Drosophila melanogaster: one gene and its partner. The protein of the gene in region 1 interacts with the protein of each later gene in a pairwise test. Each region holds a gene or a part of one and is shown on either strand. Other genes may lie near its edges.

Region 1 (7,487 bases):
TGCTAAACTTTTGCCATTTTCCATGGATTCTTTCCGTTTGTCCTTTTGTTTTTGGCTGAATTTTAATTCCCTCCGAAAGTATGTAAATGTTGCCGACAGCCAGTATCGAACGGCTCCGATGTCGTTAGATTTTATGTCGAGTTCCGAAGGGTCTACGTCTCCCCACAGTGCGGGGAACCCATAACAATCTGCATAGAAAGCATGTTAAACACGGCAAAATATGGCCCAAATGAAGGGTTTCGACCGACAAGGAGCTGCGTAAACAAGGCATCGCTTACATCTACGACTTGAGAGCTATTTATCGAGCACTCGACTCAATGCAGCAATAAACCAATATTACCACTTGGTAGAGAAACTGTCCTAGCCTCATCAAATATTTGCGGTACAGGTCTGAGGACAACGTATAACGTACGAATTCCTAGAACTCGAGCATTAAAAACAAATGCAACGTCGTGGTGCCCTTAAAATGATTACTTAATAAAGAGGAAGTGGGAAGTCTTGGTAAAAAATAGTAAACACTATCAAAAACTAGACCAATATGCATGGAAACTTTGTGAATTATGCAAATGCACTCGGTTGCCTCTGGCCTGTCCAGTTTCTCTCTGCTCCTCGGGATCGCGCATCCTGCAGATCCTGTGGGCTCAATGGCGCAACACGCGCTGCCCACTGGCTGAGAACATAATTTTCGCACTGCATCTGCCCGTTGCCTTTAAGTTGAATATAATAACAATGAATTGTTCAAAAATGCGTTTCCAGTGTAAGTTCAATTCTTTAAAATTTAAAAGAATCGCTGCCAGTTGTGTATTCCTTTTTCCGCATATCCCTTGTAAAAAATGGGGATATAGGTTTTCCTAAGTGCACACCCTCAATGCCGGACTAGTTCATCAAACTTTGCTCGAACACAAATGAAAGTTTCGAACCGCAGCCATGAAAGATGCAAGGCGTCTGGCCGTGGCCTACCTGCACACTCAGCTGCGATTGGAGCCCTACATTTCACCCAGTACCTCTGCCTCTGACGTGGGCTTTGTAAGGTCAACAAGCCAAAAATGCTTAAAAAATGCAACCGGCCAGGAAAGCGGCAAATGCAAAAGCAAAGTTAGGGTTAAACTCTTTTGTGGCATTAGCGAAACCAGAGAAGGGAAACTCCATCGTGTCGCGACTGAAACTTACATTGTATTTCTATTTGTGAGGCAGCGTCATTTCCGGTTTAGATCGTCCCCGGAGCCAGTGTTGCAAACATGTTAAGCAATCGCGCCAACTTTTTGGTCTTTTCGCCTCAGGGGAAAGGCAAAACTCTGCCGTGAGACGAACGGCAGCTCGTAAATTTCAAAAATTTGAAAACAACAGCGCCGGCAACATATACTTTTCGCGCGCTGGCCGAAATTATTTTAAATCACCTGCTGCCCGGCATTTATCATCAGAGCCAGTCGGACAAGTCGGACTCCCTAACGACCGCAGCCAGTCTTCAGCTCAACTCCCAGGACGACTACAACGGCAGCGAGATTTGCGAAGAGCACTTTATTTTGGCCAAGCCATTGCCACGCCTCCGTCCCCAAGCCCCCATCCACACTCCATCCACGCAGTGAAGTTTTCTCCACCTAACACCGACCCACTCATAATGTCCGCGCTTCTGATGTTATTTTGCCATTTTCGCTCTGGTTTGCGGCTGGGGGAAAACTGTTTTGTTATCACGGTGATAAATGGAAAATTATTTTGAATCGAGCAACTACTTAAAAGAATTCCCAAAGGTTGTAATAAATTTTGGGGCACACACATACACACATACATTCACGTCCGAGAAGGACATGCGAGGAAGGACAAGTTGGTAAGACCGAATCCGAGTTGAGCTGGCTTGGTAATGTCCTTCCAGATAAAAAGGTGATTGACGAAGCGAAAGCAAAAGTCATGGTCGAACTTCCACTTAGCAATGCAGTTGTCGTTCACAGAAAAGGACCAACGACGATGTCGGTGGTTGTGTTGTGTGTAGTGGTGGGCTGGATGGCGAATTTCGTCCTGGCATGCACTTAATTTGTACTGGGAGCTGGGGACCTGGGGCTCCTCCACTTGCTCTGAAGAAATACTCCAAGTTGAGCATATTCACAAAGCTTTGCAGAGCCAGGAATGCTATAGGTGCACACCGTGCCAAATTATTTCCTTACAACTTTAAAACTAAACATTTTATTATATGATACATCCTGGAATATAGCCCACATAGGTAGGAAGTAACAGCTCTTCCGGGAAAATATTATAGCTTATCAACAGTACCACTATAATTAAATAATAATAAATATGCATTAAAAATATAAATATTTTATATGTCCTGGTCACAAGAATTGATACAAAGTCGTTTGGTTTTCTTAAGTGCAGCGTCTTTGTTGGCAGGAGCAGCTACATGCACTATGGAAACCACTTCCAAACTGGGGGCCATCTCCGATCCAGGCACAAAGGCACCCGGACAGGACGAGCACACTCAGCGAGCAGCTCTAACAACATCTATTTTTATTTCATTAGGTAGAAAAATAGCCGGCAAGGTGAAGCTCCTGGCAGCTTCGCCATCAAAACAAAGCGCTGAATATTGGCCAAAACGGAATGGAACGGGGCGGGCGAAGCGGGGCTGGCCACAAAAAGAAACTGCTCTTCGCTTCTCAATTAGGTTAGCTTAATTTAAATTTGCTTCGAGTGCTTGGCAAGTGCTTGCGAGACATTAGCAGCAAATATTAGCAAACGCTTAAAGAGCGCCGTAAGTGGAAAATATCTTAGGCGAGTTTTCTTAAATTAGCCGTTGTAAACATTTGTTACGCACTCGGGTCGGGATTTAGAGTGTCTTAAATGAAAACCGGACAGTTTTTAATGAGGAAGTACGTTTGGCAGGTGCGAGATAACTAAAACATAAAACATGTTCATTGGAGTATGAAGATAGACAAACGGCACTTCCATAAATGTATTAAGGTGCACTGGAACACATGGGTTAAAACCATGTTATACTTATCGATCACTTTCAGAAACAAACTTCAAAAAAAAAGACTTTCAACGCACAAACAAACATACTCGAAAATAACTCCATATGGACTTTGAAGATGATGAGGAGGTTGTGCAACCGCACTATGCTCAGAAATTCCGGGCTCCCACCGATCCCCTCCTTCTGGCCACATATGAGCTTTTTAAGCCCTCTCATCAGACCTTGAACCTATACAGCGAACGGAATCGCGAGATTTTTGCGGAGGCCTTTATAGAGGGAAACTTGAACACTTTAGTCAATCTGAGCGTAAAGAGTCTGGCCAAGCTGGGCATTCGAGGCATATCTCCAACTTTGCAGGCGAGTCCCCAGCTTATGAGGATATTTTACGACGCACTGGATGTGGAGCTGCCTTTGAGGTATGTAACGAAACGGATACAAGTATTTTCATTACATAACCTATAATTTAACATTTGACGCCACTAACTTTATATCGTTATTTACTATGGTTACAAACCCTAATAACTTTATATATATTTCAAAGAGATTGCTATTTGATCGAGGATCAACGATTTTGGCGACGCGTCGTACTAAGCAAGACTTTGGACAAAACGTTGCACCTGAAGCGCTGGAACGAGTTCGACTGGAAGGCTGAGGGTGTGAGCCGGAAGTTTGTGGAGCAGGTTGAATCATGTCCTGTGAACGTGAAGCCGCAGAGAAGGCTGGCTCAGTTGGCTGAAATTGTTTGGCAGTATGTCAACTCCATGCACATCCGCAAGCTGCAAGCTCTGCCCGACTATGCCTTCATTAAGCACTTGGAGAGCGAGCCTGAAGAGGATATATCCTCGGAGTCATCCGACGAGGAGGAGATATCTAGCGATGAGCCGGATACGGAAATGGACGAGGGCGAGGAGGAGCACAAGTCTAGTAGTTCCAGCAGCGAGGCAGCTATTACTTTCTGGCGTGCGGAAACCGAGAACGAGGACACAATTCGCCGGAATGCGCGACATCTGCGCAACGCCAACCGCCAGCAGGCTCGGGATGCCATTGCTAGGAAACGGGAGGATCGCAAGGAGCGCAAGAGGAAGCGCCAGGAGAAACTGGACGCCTTGAAGAATGCGGATCAATCGGGCAAGAAAAAGAAGAAAAAGAAGAAGGAACCGCCCATTCGAGACGTGTTCAGCATAAACGTTGCTCCAGAAGAAGGTGATGACGAGGACACAAAACCGGACAAGCGCAACAAGCAGCTGCTGCTGGAGCGGATCAAGCGGTATGACTATCCGGAGGACCATTGTCATCACATTGATCTGGGATTTGTACGATATTTTGAAAATATGATGTCTCTGACGCTGGAGTTTTTGGGACCACCTGATGTAAAAGACTATCAAAGGTAAGCTCTTAAATTAGAATGTTATGGTAAGAAACAACATCGAAGAAGTGAAACGTGCTGTACACGATTTGTATAACATGTTTTCTCTGAGATAAATGGAACCAAATAAATACATGTGAAGTAGAGTTCTAAAAGCGCCAAGAGTCTACAGCTGCATCGCCTACCACCAGCATTTAAATTAAAATTGCTAGCTTAAACTTAACTTAACTTGTACCTTACAGCCGTTATATGAAGTTCTCAGACAGTGATATGGTTCGTCTTAGCAAAGGTCTGAAATACTTACCGAGCCTCAAGACCTTCAGGCTTCGAAACAGTCGCCTGAGTATGAAGAAGTTTCGTATCCTGACCCGTGCCCTTCAGAACTTAGACACCCTTGATGAGGTGGATTTTGGTTATGACCAAATGACGGATGAGTGCAGCGAAGGCCTGGCCTATTTGCTAAAGCGCCCTTTGATGTACCGCAGTATCCAGCTGGAACACAACAAATTGGGCGCCAATTGTGCAATTGTGCTGGGCGAGGCGTTGAGCCAATCGCAAGTGGGGGTTTTGGAGTATCTGGGCCTGGCTCACAATCCGCTTAATGAATTGGCCCTGCATTCGCTCATAACGTGTATTATCGGAACCCCCCATGTGTGGGCCCTCAACATTTCGGGGATCAACACCACCCTGGGTTCGTTTTCCCGTGATATAGGAACCCTCCTGCGCAGCCACACTCCTCTGATGAGCCTCGAAATGGCCGCCATCAACATTGGCATCTCGCAAGGGAATCAAATACTGAGATCCCTGGAAAAGAATACCCGAGTAAGTATAACATTGAATTAGGTTGGATCGCTGATAATGACCACTTTTGCGAAAGGGGTGCTGAAGATCATTTTTAACTGAGTATTGAACTTACATTCCTATCCTAAGATCCTATACGCCGACTTCCGGGAATGTGAGCTGAGCTTCGACCAGGAATTCGAAGTGGACATGATAGTGCGTCGGAATAACTACATTCATGAAAACCTCCACCACGGCGAGAATCTGTGTAAGGTGGTCAAGGAGCGCCGCCATCCGATTGTCCAGCGAATCGAGGAGGATTTCGCCCGGCGGAAGGGGTGCACGGAGGTGCGGCCGAAGTTCTCGAGCTCCAGCAAGGAATCCATTCCGGAGGTGGTCGTTGAGAAGAAGGAGGTCGAGGAGGAGGGCGACATCTGGGCAATGTTGGCTCGGTGGAACCAGCCGACAGCGCCTGAAGTGAGGGAATCGCACACTTCAAAGGATTCGCACCCCTCTCAAAATGGAAAGACAGAACCATTTGTTTTCGAACCCAACAAGTTCGATCTGGACCAGTTCCGGAAGTCTGTCTTTCTGCCAGGCCCTGGCAATCGCTTTTTCTACCTGCAAAGGAACAAAACTCCCTAATTTGTAGCCCTTTTCACCACCTACAATTGTACATTGCATAACATTGTACTCTGAGTATATTTTCAAAGCATTAAACGCACCACTTAGCAGTCCAACATAGTCCCTATCATTCTCGAGGGCTTGGAATGTCATTCGACCTAATGGTCACTTTAAACCTTCGCCATAAAGTGCCGCGCTGGCATAAACTGAGATCTAATTAAGTCGCTGGCAACGTGTTCGCCTTGGAGCCACGCCCACAATTCCGGGGGCCACACCTCGACCGAAGGTCATTGCAGAGCACAGCAAGTGCAACAAAGTTGAGCAGTTTGCATTTAAGCAGCGGAGATTTGGGCAACAGTGTCTCCAATTTAATGCCACTTCCCCTGGCTACTTCTGCCTTCCAAGCTCCACAGTCAATTCCATAAAATCGTGGGCGTACACTCGGAAAAAATAGTATAATTTCCATGTTGATAAAACAAACTAGAAAGCACTTAAAACACCAGTCCTAAAAACAGCATGTTAAATCCTTTTAACACTTTAGTTAAAAGAATTTTTCAATTCATATTACTTCATTTGAAGACTTAATTTCCAATGTTAACTAGCGGTGATTTTATTGGAAGGCTTCATTTCTTTTAAAGTTTTTCTAAACAAGATATATCTGCTTTTTCAGTGCAAAGAAAGAAGCTCGAACAGTGCTTAGAAGTTCGTCTTGTTAACAAAGCCAAACCTCAGCGAGTATAAACAAATTAATGCATATGCCGGTTCGCCTGAGGTAATGTGTGTCTATCTTGCAATTGGGAGACGTTTCCAGGGAAGTGGGGTAACATATATCGAGGGGGCTAAAGGAAAGGAAGGAAAGCGCGGAGGGGTTGGGTATGAGTTCACGGCCCCATTTTGACAGGATCCCATGAAAGATATATGTGCGCTGGTAACTCAACTTATCAACGCGCCGAGCCACAAACTTTTCTCATCTACTTAACGCAGATAAGCGGCTGCCTTTTCGCCATGTTTGGCTTCTAATTTGCCCAGCCGCAGATACACATTCATAGACCCAACTGATGGTGTTAACTTAATTTTCAGCCAGCACTCGACTGGAGTCCGTAAGGGCTAAAGTAAAGGAAAGAGATGGGCCAACAATCCGGCGGAATCGGAGTCGCCTGACTTTTTCAGACTTCTCTTGTGTGAAATAAAATTAACTAAATACGCTCACGAGTAACATTCATAATAAACATTAAGCAGCAAGGGCGAAAAAAGTCAAATAAATATAAAAAATAATATTTGCCAGACGACTCCTTTTTGCGATTACGAGGCGACGGCCGTGTGGCCAGCGTTTTTGGGTTTTGTCGGGTTGTGGGATCGGGTGAAATTATGGCATAAGTTACTTAGGAGTAAAGCTGGTTTCCTGCTCCTGCTCCTGCTTCTGCTCCCCGGAACTTCCCCACCATTCACAGCCAGCCACCCACTTTCCAGCCCCCCGGCGGAATCAACTTGGCTACACTTTACTTTTATGTGGCGCGCTCGGAATGTACTCGCTGGCGAAATAAAGATACAGATACAGAGATACGCAGAGAGTGCCCAGATACAAGCACATTTGTAGCGATAAGCGTCATAAAGTTATCGTAAGTAAGCGCCGAAAAAAGTCTACGAAATAGATACAAAAAAAAGACGGAAGCATGAGCTTACAGTGGGGCTTGGATTTCTGATCCTCTACCAAAATACAGTGAATGCTAGTGTTTGTTGAAAGAAAACGAAAGCCTT
Region 2 (6,744 bases), on another chromosome or scaffold:
GGTCACAAGATGCGAATATTGATGAGAATATCTTTGGTATCTATAGAATATAGCTTAAAGGTTCTGAATTAAGGGTGTTCTAATTTTACTTGATTGCTGAAAGAGTCTTAAGCATGTGATTTTAATGTACGCTATTATTTCGCCCACAACTGTATATTCGCATTGAGCGCACAGAAAAGTATGCTATGATTTTTGTTTTGTGTTCGACAGGCAGGAACTGGCAATTATATTGTGTGTATGTTGCGGTACATATGCGAGTGTATGTGCGTGGGTGGGTGCGTGTGTGTGTGTGTGTGTGTGAATATTTGCCATAAATGCTGCATCATGGCAAGTATTTAAGCCATTGAGAGGCATTTTCTGCTAACCCAGAAACACATTCATCTCGGCCTTTTTGCTTGCTGCTAGTTCATTCAAGGGCAATATTCTTCTGCATCATTAACCCGCCGCTATGCCGATGGATGGATGACCCACAGCCATGCAGTCACGGTCAGCTTAACCCATTCGTGCCCGTGTGCCTGTTTCTTGTGAATATTTCACAAAATCGAATCAATAGTCATCCGAGTGAAATTAATTTTTGCTAATTTCGCGAATTTAAGTGAAACAAATGCCTCTCTACTTAAACTCAACTTAATTTACCCTAATCCTTGTGTGTCTGTGTGCGCCTTTTTAACCCCCACTCATCTATCGTGGGTTAATTCCCAAAGACGTATTAGCCCGGCGAAATTTATCCAACTCAATTAATCTCAGCGTTCTGTTCTCTGACTTTACAGAATTGATAGCTTCGTGCGAGAAGGCGTGGCTGTGGCGCCTCTTTTGTGATTTATACTCGATTTCGCTGCGTGTTTTGCTTAGTTTTTATCCTTTATACGAATAAATGATATTCAACAAAACTGCGCGAAATCCCTAGATCATAAACTAGTTAATAATTAACCTTAAATAAAACAGTAACACCACTGCCCAAAACTGCATTTGAACCCATTGTTTTTGATTACTTGTGTGGCTAATTATTTTTGCAGCCGCAAATGCGACAGGATAAAGTTGACTTTTAGTTGCACCGAATACCGTGTGCAATCTGTGTGCATATTTAATACATGCAAAAGAGTGAGCGCAGCGATAGAAAAAACTTTGTTTGCTCTATCAGCTGCTGCTTAATGAGTGCCAGTCTATATATCCTTTTGTCTGCGGTCTGCAGTTTTAACTTGTTGAATTGACAGCAAACAAAAAAGGCGAGGAACACACGGAAAAGTTGCCACCACAGGGTGGCTAAAATACGTGCATATACATTATGTACATTTTATATGTGCTGCAAGTTTTAATTCCGCCAAGCTCGAAAAGTCATCATCTATGCCATTGTCAACTTGAGTTCATGTGTGTGTCTGTGTGTGTGTGTGTGTGTGTGTGTGGGAGTGAGTGTGTGCGCGTGTTTGATGCTGTCTGTCTATGGATGGATTTTTAGAAAATATAACTATCTAAGTGAATTCAGCGCCCAGCTTCTTTTTGTTGCCAGCATTGGCGACACGACCCTTTAGCGATTGCACCGCCAAATTGGGCAGACATCCGCGCTTTTGTAGATCATCCAGTTTGACTGTGATCACCGTATCGATTTCCTTTTGCCGCTGCGCCTCAGCTGCCCGCTCCCTTTCGAAGGCCAAGTGTTCCTCCTCCAGTTCGCGGCGACGAGCCTTCTCCCGTTCTTCGATTTGGCACGAGACACTGGAGCGCAGACAGGCCTTTTTGATGGCCTGCTCCTCGGCCTCGCGCTTCATTTGCTCCTCGTGCTTCTTTCGATACTCGATCATCTCCTTTAGTTCGCGTTCACGTTGCACATAGAAGCAGGCCTTCATTTGGCTAAGATGCTCCATTTGCTCCATATTGGCACGCTTGAGTTCGGCGGCCATTTTGCGTTCCTTTTCGGCTGCCTTACGTTCGTTTTCTCTGTACTTTCGTTCGAGGCGTTCGTGTTCCGCCAGGAAATGCATCTCCTCGCGATTATCCTTAGCATCGAGAATCTTTTGGCCGACTGCAAAGAGAACATCCCGTTTGCGTTTCTCATCCGCCGCGATGGCTTCGCGTTCCGCTCGCTGTTGTTTCAATTGCTGCTCCTTGAGCTTTAGATACTCGTAGGCCCTGTTCTCATCTCTTTGATCCTGTTCGCACATCATCCGTACGAAATTGCGATGCAATTTCGTATACTTATTCAATTCATCCCGATAGGCCAGCTTACGGCGCGATTTCATCTCGCCCTCTGCCAATTCAGCCTTTTTATACTCATCGACGGCGGCACGCAAGTCTCGCGCCTCCAATCGCAGACGATCCTGGGCCAGGAAACGTAACTTTTCGCGATCAGTGATTTGTTCACGCACTGCGTTGCCAAATTGCCGGCGCCTCTCCTCTTCGGCCTGATCTTGCTGCTCCACCGTGCCCCATTTGGCATTGTTGTAGTCGCGATTCTTGCGAGCCATCTCCTCGTCATGATCGAGTTGAATGCGATTGAGTAGCTTCCTTTCCTGTATCTGAGCCGTCCACATGGCACTGCATTTGGCCTCGGATATCGCACGCGTGGCATCCTTAACTCGCACATCTGACTCGTATTTGGCATCCAAGGCGCGGTGTAGTACCTACAATGGGTGGTGGAGATATACTTTCGGAAATATGGCTAAGAACCATAAACCAAAAAACTACCTGCAATCGTTTGGCCTCCGCACGCCGATCCTCGTTGACATCCTCATCGGCCTCGTCATCGTCCCTCTTCTGGGCCTCGCGCTCCTTCTCCCTGCGCTGCTCATCAATGTCGTGGAAATAGTTACGCATACGTTCCGCTTCGGCTGTATGATATTGCTGCTCCTCCATCCGGCGATCCTGTTCCGCGCGACGCTCCTCGGTGGTACGCGGCCTCGATGCCCGCATGCGATCCAGTTCGCACTGTGAGAGCTCCGCATAGCCCTTGGATTCCCATGATTGACCCTTGATGTGAAAGAACGTGGCCTTGGCACCGTCGTATTTTCGGGCTCGCGGTGGCGCCTTACCGCCACCCACCGCCGAACGTGTGATCTTCTGTCCAGGCACGGCTACTGGATTCGGTAGACGTGTGCCGGGCGGTAATGGTCGCCTCTGAACCTTTGGCTTTACGGGTCTATCACGGCGTACGCCACATAGTGGCTCCTCTTCGACGGTCGATAATGGTGGCGTTTCCAGATAAATCGGCTTCTTAAGTCGATCATAGCAATCCGGGTGCAGTTTCATCGCAGCTCGCGAACGACATGGCATCACCATTGGCATCTTGACGAATTCTATTCTATATGTATATCGCGTTTGAAATTGCAAATGGCCAGAGGGGTGTGGGGTAAAACGCAATAGCAGATTTCTCGCTTAGCTATTGAGTTTGTTCCTTTGTTCGGTTTGTTGGCGTGTCTGTTTGTGTTATTTGCTCGGAGGCTCTTGTTTTGTTTGCTTGTTTCGTATATTTCGTTTGTTTATCCAATCGAATCTGGCAGGTTAAATCTACATGAATTCAAAGCTTGCTGGGTATAGCATTACAATTACAGGGTATTTGCTGGGAATGTAGGCTCACAGGTACTTTTTGAATCATAGAGTTCCTTTAATAGGTCGGTTATACATTTGAGTATCCCAAAATTAAACATGCTCGTGTACGCTGCTTCTACACTTGTTCACACCTGACCACTTGAGTGTCGTTTTTTGTCGAGTGGCAGGTGAGAAGGAAAAACTAGAGGATAAGTGAAGGGGGGGGGGGGGGGGCGAGGATATATGGAAAGCTAGTTGGGGGAAAAAGGGAAAGGCTGCCGCCGCTGCTGCATTTACTTCCGCCTGCTTTGGTTGCATTCGAAGGCGTTGATGCTTGCATTTTGGAATAGCCCCGACAATTTGCATTCTTTGTATGTAAGTGCCACGCCCATGGCCCGCTTGCCCCACCGCCTACTCTCCCTTCGAAATCCAGCCACCAGGTAGGTGGCATGAAAATTTAATTACACGCCTCGCTGAAACGCAGTGCCTGAATATAGGGGTCGCTGGTTTATTTTTTTTATATATTTTTTTTGTGAAAATCTCGCTGTTGCCCGTAGATTAGGCTGGTGAGAGAAAAAAAAGGATAATGGAGGAATATATATAGTTCAACAAGCTGGCTTTTAAGCAGGGCTATAATACCGCATGTCACTTGCTGCTCGAAAGTGCTCGAAAATGATTATTTTTGCTCAAGTTATGCTTATTTTACGGTATTTTGGTATATGTATAACTTAACTAGCCGGAGTCTTTTGTGCACTCGATACTGACCAAATTCCATTTTAGTCGTCATATGACGAATGCTGGAAGAGAATTCGAAACCGAAACTCAATATCCAGCCCATAGTGTTTGTCTTGTCTATTTGTGTGGCGCTTGTGTTGTTGGGCGCACAAAGAGACATCTCCATCTACTACGCTACTCGACACCCAATACCAAATACTCGAGATTCCGATGAGATGGTGTGGTGGCCGTGGGGCAAATGGTTGCCTTCACTATGGACAACCAACAGCGACCACCTCTGACTGCATGGGTTCCGCCCGAAATACACTCCTGTTCGCCAGACATCAATAACACCGATGTTTCTCACATCGCGCTGAGCGTGAAGTTTTTGCCATAAATATGAATTATTTTTTTTTTTTGGCAAGCAGCTAAAAATCATATTACGTACTATAATATATACGACAAGGGGGGGCATCGTCTCCGTAAAACTTTTCTCACATTTCAATGGCAATAAAAGTGATTTAATAAGGCGCAAAACAACACAACAAAAGGGGCAAAAAAAAAAAAGGGGGCGTACAAATTTTTGGGCAAGGGCAGCGGGCAAGCCAGCCAGAAAAGCGAAATCAATTTGATTTGTCGCCGTAGACGACGACGACGATGGTGGGCGGTGGGACGATCCACCGACCACGCCCATTGCGTGTGATTAAGTGCGCGTTTAATGTGCACGCCATGGCCATAAAACAAATTGTATGCAATCCTGCCACCGAAAGCTTTCGCAATTTACTCCCCACACAACTCTGGAGGAGATTTACCCGGCTTCATCTGTGTGCGTGTGCGTGTGCGTGTGCAATGCTACTACAACTACTACTACAACTACTACAACAACAGCCTCCGTGGGTTTATTCCTCTTTTCTCGCAATCCTTCTTCATTTCAGAGTTCCGTAACTGATTTTGACCCGTAGTCCGTTGGGGAGGCTAAAAACTTTTACAGCTCTCGCTCTGTGCGAGCGCTTTGAAATGTAAATACGGCTCATTATTTCCAATGCCTTGCCATTCATTTGCAAAGTTTCCAGTTTGCCATGGCCCTCACACACACTAACACACACACGCAGCTGCAGCAGCAGCAGCACAACACACACACAGTGGACCTCCGCTCACATGCGCACAGTCACCATGGGATAATTTCCGGTCCACTGAAAATGATTCCTTGGGCATTTAATCGTGAAAGTCATTAAAAATCACTCCCTATCCACAACTACCTTTTAGGGTGGCAAGATTGCAGTCCAAAAGTTATTTGCAACCAACGGTACACATCAATATCCGAAAAATGGCTGTACAAATAGTGTCACAATATACATATATTGAAATTAAATCCAATTTACTGGACTCTTGAACCCACTGTGCTGGATGGCAGGACTCTGTGGCCATCGGTTCACCTTTAATTAACTGTAATGCCATCAGGCAGCAGGACATCCGTTGGTCAACGTGTGTGTAATGCCCTTTTGCTTTCCCTTCAGCATTTGCCTTTTCCTTTACCACCCAAGTCACCACCATCACCACCAGCAGAAAATGTGTGTGTGCGAAAGGTTTATTATTTTCACTTAATTTTTGCTAGACTTTTTTTTTTTTTTTTGTTTTGTTTACTTCAGGTTGCAGAACCTTTTGGCTCCGGCCATTCAATTTACGTGCCTCTAGGACGGTCCTGCCCCAAATGGCAAATCATCACAGCTAGACAGAAAAATAAGATAGGCATGGGGAACAGCGAGGGAAACCTTTCGAGGAAAACGAGAGCCAAGAAGCGGAATGTGGAATCTTGTTTGTATAACCAGAGCTGCGGCAAAATGTTGTTCAAATTGACTTGGCGGGGGCCGGGGTTCGAATGACTCGGCAGGTGGATCGTAGTGTCCTTCCGCGCTGGTATATGGAGCGGGCTTGTGGGAAGTGGGGAGTGTGGAGAGGGAAAAGGAAAACCATCGGGCTTCCTGCCAAAAAGGGACAAAGTCAGCGACAAAGGAATGTTTCGCCTGCTGAACAATGGCAAATAATTCATAACTGGGCTCAAAACTTTGATTTAGCTGCAGTTAATACACTGGGCATACCCCTCATATCCTCCAAATCACCCTTTCTCCTTGAGCTCCCCTCCTTTTTGGATTGTGCAGGGGGTCATATATCTCTGGCTCCACTCGCTCATCCTGTTGGCCATACGTCGGTTTGCATAAATTTTACCCATGGCCAAAGAGGACTCGAAACGTAGGACTCCTGTTGACAGGCGGAATTCCCCCCCTTTTTACAACTGCTGCTCCTCCAGCAGATAAATTACGCTCCGAGCGCCCAGGACCCATGGAAGCGGAAGAGCCAACGGATGACGGCCGGCTGGCAAAGCCAAAGCCAAAGTCAGAGATGTGGGAAAAGCTATAGGAGAAGCTATGGCCAAAGCCAGAGGAACCGGAGCACCAAGACTGCTGTCCGGACTGTCAGGCAGCTGTATGCTTATTTTTCTTCAACTGT

The links. Proteins that work in one complex are often made in the same cells at the same time.
Region 2: the proteins of CG15580 (region 1) and CG5062 interact in a two-hybrid assay, tested with the Drosophila melanogaster proteins (one large-scale study listed by BioGRID).

Annotation. Positions count from the first base shown.
Region 1 is NT_033777.3:6,053,068-6,060,554, reverse strand, and holds CG15580 (uncharacterized protein), read left to right. Parts: upstream 1-3,018; 5' UTR 3,019-3,064; coding exon 3,065-3,375; intron 3,376-3,500; coding exon 3,501-4,346; intron 4,347-4,567; coding exon 4,568-5,147; intron 5,148-5,255; coding exon 5,256-5,750; 3' UTR 5,751-5,843; downstream 5,844-7,487.
Region 2 is NC_004354.4:5,178,902-5,185,645, forward strand, and holds CG5062 (uncharacterized protein), read right to left. Parts: upstream 3,469-6,744; 5' UTR 3,280-3,468; coding exon 2,683-3,279; intron 2,619-2,682; coding exon 1,470-2,618; 3' UTR 1,281-1,469; downstream 1-1,280.